Danio rerio: one gene and its partner. The protein of the gene in region 1 purifies or fractionates together with the protein of each later gene. This does not show direct contact. Links are inferred from orthologs where the notes say so. Each region holds a gene or a part of one and is shown in the gene's direction. Other genes may lie near its edges. The genes, in order: hdac5 and prkd1.

Evidence for each region.
Region 2: the proteins of hdac5 (region 1) and prkd1 purify together in Homo sapiens (affinity purification with western blotting; 4 studies listed by BioGRID, with this or other methods). This does not show direct contact. The link is inferred for Danio rerio from reciprocal best matches to the Homo sapiens genes HDAC5 and PRKD1.

What each region holds. Positions count from the first base shown.
Region 1 is NC_133178.1:21,717,204-21,720,929, forward strand, and holds part of hdac5 (histone deacetylase 5), read left to right. Parts: intron 1-773; coding exon 774-893; intron 894-971; coding exon 972-1,069; intron 1,070-1,967; coding exon 1,968-2,086; intron 2,087-2,292; coding exon 2,293-2,426; intron 2,427-3,726. UniProt on the Homo sapiens protein: Responsible for the deacetylation of lysine residues on the N-terminal part of the core histones (H2A, H2B, H3 and H4).
Region 2 is NC_133192.1:30,382,959-30,387,342, forward strand, and holds the start of prkd1 (serine/threonine-protein kinase D1), read left to right. Parts: upstream 1-1,409; 5' UTR 1,410-1,590; coding exon 1,591-1,755; exon of another isoform or gene 1,756-1,833; intron 1,834-4,384.

The sequences.
Region 1 (3,726 bases):
AGGTGTATAGAACACAGAAGTCACCAGCTTTCTTCAGGCTCAATAGCTACAGTCCTTAAAAGTTTGGTAGTCTTCATATTTGCTTAAGAAGAGTGTGTAGAGATCTTCATTAAATGGGTTTCCATGGCTGAGCAGCTGCATTCAAGCCTTACCAAGTGCAATGCAAAGCGTAGGATGCAGTGGTGTAAACATGGCACCACTGGATTCTAGAGCAGTCTGGAGTCAGAATCTCTGCCTGGCAATCTGATGGACAACCCTAGGTTTGGTGGTTGCAAGTAGAATTGTGCTTGTCTGACTGCTTTGTAGCAAATGTAAAATTTGGTGAAGGGATGATTGTGTGGGGTTATTTTGTTAGGTTGTTGGGATTGGTCCTTAGTTCCAGTAAAAGGAACTCTTGATGCTTTAGCATACCAAGACATTTTGGACAATATCATGACCCTTTTTAATCTAACATTACTGCCCACCAGTGCACAAATTAACACTCTTAAAGACATAGATGATTGTTTTGGGTGTGAAGGAACTTGTCTGGTCTGCACAGAGTCCTGAACATAACCCAATTGAACATATTTGGGATAATTCAAACATTGCAACTTGGTCAAATATCATGTGCCTGGCCTCTGGATCCATCCATGGAGCAGGGAATTTTGTAATGTTATACAATGTCTTGGTGTGTTTTTTAGCAGTTTATGTGTTTTTGAGTTTGATTAATTGTCATCGACATGTTTACCGGACCACAAATACCAAAATCAGACTTTACTCATTGCTTTTTATAGGATATCCATCATGGAAACGGGACCCAGCAGGCTTTCTATAATGACCCCAATGTGTTATATATTTCTCTGCATCGTTATGACGATGGCAACTTCTTCCCTGGCAGTGGCGCTCCTGAGGAGGTAACAACATTTCCATCACATTATTTTGTGGCGTATGACTAAAGTTGCCATTGTTTTTCAATATGGCTTGCTCTGCAGGTGGGTGTGGGTCCAGGAGAGGGCTTTAATGTCAACATTGCCTGGACAGGTGGAGTGGAGCCACCTATGGGTGATGTGGAGTATCTAACCGCCTTCAGGTGACATCTGCACTTCCTGTCTGTCTGTCAATAATAGAGATAAGAAAGCTGATGCTAGATTTAATCTCACTTTCAGAAACTCTTGCCTGTCAGCTTAAAAAGGTTAAACATAGGTCCAGAGAGGACTTGTCAAAAACATCCTAAAACATCAAATTATTAAGATTTTTTTTACTTTTACACTGAAATAGATTTTAGTAGATGACAGTTTGTTTACATATTTATTCATTGCTCAATAGTAGAAAACAGGGGGGGAAGTGTGTATTTGCTCTCGAGGCCAAACTATTGTATAAAATGGATGCCTGCTAACAAAGAAAGCATGGCTTTACGCTTAAATAATGCTTGGATTAAATATTGTTATTTCAGTCGGAAACACAATCAAAATGTAGTATTAAATATGTAATATTATACATATTTTTGGAAATTGTATACTGTTTTCATTAAAAAACACCCAAAATAAACATAAAAATGAATTGAAAAAATGTCCATAAGGATGCACAAGAATTATTTGTTTTTATACAAATCTCACAAAATGGTATTTTACACTTCAAATTGATGTGATTTGAGGAGGAGTGTCCTTCCAGAACATTAGCACATATTCTGATTTTAATTAAAGATTACCAGAGCAAGCATTTGTTTTCCAATGTATAAACATGAATTGGTCACCTCAATATTAGCAAATAAAGTAAATAGTCAGTCATTAGCTTAAGAAAAAAGTCAGTTTAAATAGAAAAGAATCATTTTTTACTTCATGAATATTTTTTATTTATTTATTAATTTTTTTTGTAATGCTTTGGTTTCATTTCTTATGGAATCTAAATGGTTAATGGAAAGGTACATTTAAGGTAAAAACATTTCATGAAACTACACTAAAACTCTTGAAAAATGTGTGTGCTTGTAGAACGGTGGTGATGCCCATTGCCAATGAGTTTTCGCCGGATGTGGTGCTGGTGTCAGCTGGTTTCGATGCTGTGGAGGGCCACCAGTCACCGCTGGGCGGATACAACGTCACTGCCAAATGTGAGTAAACGCGAGAGCTCAGATTGCAGAAATGTTTTTAGTATCCCCTAATTGTATTACACACATGAAAGCTATGCATTTTTCTAGATCATTGCTCCAAATGTCATACTCATAGTACTTGGATTAGTCTTTTTCACTCCTAACCTACATTACACTGTGGTTTTTAGTTCATGAATTACCTAGCATGCTCCTGTCTCTTTTCGTAGGCTTTGGTCATCTCACTAAGCAATTGATGAAGTTGGCTGGTGGTCGTGTGGTTTTGGCACTGGAAGGAGGTCACGACCTCACCGCCATCTGTGACGCATCTGAATCCTGCGTGGAGGCACTTTTGGGAGATGAGGTGCCTGACATTAATTCACACACACACACACACACAAACACAAACACACACACACACACACACACAATAATACGTGACATCTGGTACTTTTGGTTTAAAACTGTTAGGGTTTGGAGTCTTAGTGATAACAACAAAGGGTTTAAAAAATTGTAGTGATCAGATTATTTCTTTAAAAATGTATTATGTATATAGATATTGCTTTGTCATAAAGTTCATTATATTATATTATATAAAAATGCATGTAAGTGTATAAACACTTGATAGCTTTAGTGTCCACCCTATATACAACACCTTAACTTTTCCTGCTTTTCATTGTAATGTAATGTGCATTTTTTGTAAAACTGCTTCGGAACAATTATTACTATAAAACTCACTATACAAATACATCTAGGGCTCTATTTTAACCATCTAGTCTAAAGCGCATTGCGCAAAAGCATTTAGGGTGTGTCGAATCCTCTTTTGCCTTTTTAAGAATGAAAAAATACGCTCTGCATCCTGGTGCATAGTCTAACAGGGTTGTGCTTATTCTCTTAATGAGTTATAGGTGTGTTTTGGACATAACGTGCATTAAACCAATCAGAGTATCATCTCACATTCCCTTTAAGAGTCAGTTGCGTCGCTTCCTGGTGCATTTGCTATTTAAATGGTGGACTTTGTAAGTGGAAAAACAGAACACTTCACTAGCAAGAAAACAGTTAAACAGACCATCTGCAGCAAGAGGATAAAGAATGAGCCTCTTCCATTCTCTTTACATAGATAAGGAAATGGTGGAAACTCACTCCACTGAAGACATCCATTAGCCTACATATTTTATATAGTTTTGTTAAGTGCAAAGATTTGTTTCAAAACTATTTCTAAACTTTCCAGCAAACAAATAAATGAACAATAATAACCAAGTGTGGTCAAAAACCTTACTATTTATGTCCAAACACACGTCCTGTTCTTATGCCCCATATGTTGATGCATACATCTCCAAAACCCAACAGATGGACGAATCTAAACTTATTTTAATTAAAGCAAATATGAATATGCATATAATTAATAATACTGCTAACAATAATAACATTAAATGCAAATTGTCATTAATAAACTGAACAAGGCATGGAGGCATGAAGAAGGCATGGCATAAGCAATGTGTAAGTGTTTGAACCCACATAGGTGCATTACTAATGCGCTCTGCGCTAGACTTTAGACCAGCTTTTAGTTGGTCATTGACGCAGCCTATTTCAATTCCTCAAATTAGCAACGCGTCAACGATGTGCCTTAATACACCACCTGTATCGACCAGCACAACAATGAG
Region 2 (4,384 bases), on another chromosome or scaffold:
TCCTGGCTGGCCAGTTGGCAATTTTGTGTGGAGTTTGCATGTTCTGCCTGTGTTTGCGTGTTTTAGTTTCCCCGTGTTTGGGTTTCCTCTTGGTGCTCTCGTTTCCCCCACAGTCCAAAGACATGCGGTACAGGTGAATTGAGTAAACTAAAGCCATAGTGTATGAGGATGTGTGTGTGTGTGAGAGAATGAGTGTGTAAGGGGGTTTCCCAGTACTGGGTTGCAGCTGGAAAGGCATCCGCTGCATAAAACATATGCTGGAATAGTTGACGGTTCATTCTTCTGTGTTGGCCACTGATGAAGAATGGATTAAGCCAAAGGAAAATTAATGAATATAAATTTTTGTCATCGTTAGCTTGTCTTGTGTTACGACTCAAGCTTTTTGCGAATGTAGATATTTATGAATGGTTTAAACTACAGTTGCAGATGCACAGTCAACTTGCCATCAAATGTTTACATACTGGATTACATATAAAGACCAATTTAGTGGCCCATAGAAACGGCTAACAGCATACATATATTTCTGCATAATAAAAAGAGCCCATCCTCACAAGTTGATATGATGAATGATTGTACATATGTGAATGGGGGTTACTTTTATATCAAGCAACAGAACTGCCATTTTTTATAGAAATTATCGCTGGAAACTAACCTAGCTATATATATATGTATACCGTTTTTGTTTTATGTAACAAAAATAATAATAATAATAATAAAAAATATATATATTTATATATATATATATATATATATATATATATATATATATATATATATATATATATATATATATTTTATTATTATTATTTTTTCTTTTTTGTGTATGTATGTATGTGTATGTATATGTACACATATAAATACATACATTTTTTAATGTGTGTGTGTAGATAGATAGATAGATAGATAGATAGATAGATAGATAGATAGATAGATAGATAGATAGATAGATAGATAGATAGATAGATAGATAGATAGATAGATAGATAGATTCAGGTTTAAATCACAACTCGTAACATGACATTAGCCACACCTGTTACATAAAACAAAAACGATTATTCTAAAATCTTACATTGCTGTGTGAAGAATGATGCCCCATATGGTTTTGCGGAAGTATTTTGGCGGAAGCTACGGTTACCATGGCAATTATTGTCAGGCTACCGATTCCACTTCATAAGTCCGGTAAACGGGAAAAACACCAATTTTATCTATATTTCAAAGAGGGAAGAATGAATCCACAGCACATAAACTTTCAAATTCACATCCCCGATCGCCATTGCAGCATCATCTGAGCTGTGATGATGAAGGAGCCAGGAGGCGGTGTCTGATCAGAGCCCAACATTAAACATATCTGACGTCTATATCTCCATCATCATCATCATCCTCGCCTCTCAATGTCCAAATAACTCTTTGCATTTCCGTGCTATCGCTTTTTCCTCAAATTCACGTTTTTCGCTCGTTTACCCTCTGAACGTCTTTAGGGATCTGAAGTTTGCCTCAGTTTTGCGCAACCGGTGTGTGAACTCGTGTGTGAAACAGCCCGATCCGATCGCTGTCCACCAGGCGTAATTGTGTTGACAACAGGGGATTCATATGAGCGTACCTCCGGTAATCCGACCGCCGAGCCCCCTCCCGGGGTCGCAAGGCATTTCTTTCCAAATCCAGATCGGGTTGAGCCGGGAACCCGTCCTGCTGGACTCCGGCGAGTTCAGCCTGGCGCAAGTCCGAGAGATGGCATGCTCCATCGTGGACCAGAAGGTAACACTTTCCATAATCCTCATGTTTCATTCATTGTCGTTCACGTAAAAATGCCACAGATTTCATCACCCTGAACAAGAAGTGGCGGTCCGGAGTTTGGAAATAGCCCAACTTTTAGCCCACTTGTTACTTAAGCATTTATGGGAATTTGGAATTTCGTTCCAACCTCACATGATGTTAAGTTACGACGAACTTGAATGCTTTATTAAAATATTGCTTTTCATAGGCTATATCATCCGTTTATGTCTATAAATTTATGAGCCTATTATATTTAGTAATGTATAATTTAGGATTCTGCTACAGGTTCACAACTGAGCTGTAAACTTTCAAAAGGCAGAAAATTGCATTGAAATTGTTTTTAATTACTGATAGAACATTATTTACTTCATAACCTGAATCAGCTGAAACACACTGAATGTGTAGCGTCATTAAGTGTTCTGCATTGTATTTTCCATTGACAGTGATGACGTTTTGTAGCCTACTTATTGAGCCAGTGAGGGGCTTGTAGCCTACTGGAACACAGCATCACTGCACTGCAGGCCTGTCTCTTGTGCTGAAACCTTTCAAAATATTTAGTGGATTTTGTCCTCAAGTTGTTGCTTCCATGATATTTGGAAAATCTCATTATAGTAGATGTGTATGTTACAGTGTATATCAGGGCAAGTAAGGACTTTTTTTTGCCTCACCAGTATAATGTGGCATTGAACCAAAATTTTGGTTATTAATTAAACAGAATAATGTGAGAACTGTTTAATCAAACAGATTAAATTGATTGAATATACCAAGCTAAAGCATAATAACTGCTGCTAAGTGCTTTTCTGCTTTTCTAATAAAGCAATGTCAAATTTACACTAGAAGTTCATAAATATCAGTTATGAAATTGGCATTGAAAAGATCACCCAAAAATAATGTCAAAGGTGACATTCACCCTCAATATAACATTATTGATGATTTTTAGCTGGAATAGTCTTCTTTGATTCATAACATGCAAGTCATACTGACTGACTGTTTACACAGTTCACGCTCAGGACCATTTACAATGGCTGTGGATTGAAAGTAATTATGCTCAGTTTTTTAAACAGAAGCTATGGAGTTGTGTAGATTTGCTGTATATCTTTTCACTCTTGAAGTGCTGATTGGCTTGAAATTTATCAATAACCAAATTCACATCTTGGATAGTCTAAGGATGAGAATTAATAACAGATTTTCAATTCTGCTGGAACTATCCACCAAAAAGCAATTGATTTCTGCTGAGTGGTATAATAGGTGATCTAACAGAATGTTAACTTGAAATGGAGCTTGTAGAATAAATGCTGTGAAAATATGGTTTCTATATTACTACTAGAAATATAATGTATATAAGTTTCTACTTGAAATAAAGCGTTTCCCAAATCCATCATTCCGACGAACAATCGCAAACTGCATCGCAGACTTGTATGCTTGTAATTACACCTCTAGAGCTGATGTTATAAGCATAGTTCCTGGATGTGTTCTATTCCAAGTTATCCCCCCCATGCCCTATTCCTTTCGAACGTTCCATCATTCAAAGTTGGAATCATTAAAAAAAAAGCATTAATGTCATCTCTCTTAGGTGCAGTTTAGTTTCAAATATTTTTGCAGTTTAGTTTTAGCAATCTTTACATTGACAATTGCGTTCCCTTTTTAATGCACTTTGAAAACATTGATGCCACTTTGAACGCAGCCGAGGCTCATGATGAAAGCTATAGGTGACCTATTATTTAAAAACAGAACTTAGGTTTGGTCTCTGAAGCTTGTGGAAACAAAAATATATAGCAAACGTTAATGCTTTTAATTTATAATAGGTTATTTACTAAGAAATGTATCTGTACTGTATATGACATGGGTCTGTTGGTTAGAACATTTCTGCAGTGGTTTGAATGTGTCGTTGTAAAAGCAGACTTTACTATGCATCTTACTATAATAGTTCAGCCGCAAGTTATGTTGTGGTTTGGGAAACAAACCCCTGTTCATTAAAAAGTGGCTTATATTTGTTTTTCCTCACAAAAGTAACTATAGAAGACTTGAAATATAAGAGAAGGGAGCATAGGTAAATATAGTTTTACCTATCTTCAAAATTGGTCCTCTGACAGGACTGGGTGATTAATCGAAAAGCAATCAAATCCACATTCAGAACCTATAATCGTTCTAATTTTTCCAGGTCAATTGTTTACATTACTTTTCCTAGCTCTTTTTTTTGACTGTTCTTTTTAGGCAATGTGTGTTTAGATTTCAGTTGTTCAATGTTGATGTTCAATAAACAATCAGAGATAGTAGATAGTGTGCGTTTCTTTCAACTATTTTAAAATCAAGTATGCACCCTTCATTTTAATATAATATGTGAGCATATTTACAGTACATAACTTGTCAGTGAACTATAAGGGCAAAAAATAAAAAAACAAAATAATCATTCATTATTGTAATTGAGTTAAATTTGAGATTTAGATTTTAGGCCAAATCGCCTAGCTAGGCATGGGCAGGTATAAGATTCTAATGGTATGATAACCTTGGATATAATATCACGGTTTTACAGTATCTCAATATTGTAATTACTGCTCTAAAACTATTTATATTTTAAATGTCTGGGTAAAAAAAACAACTTTTTCCCCTT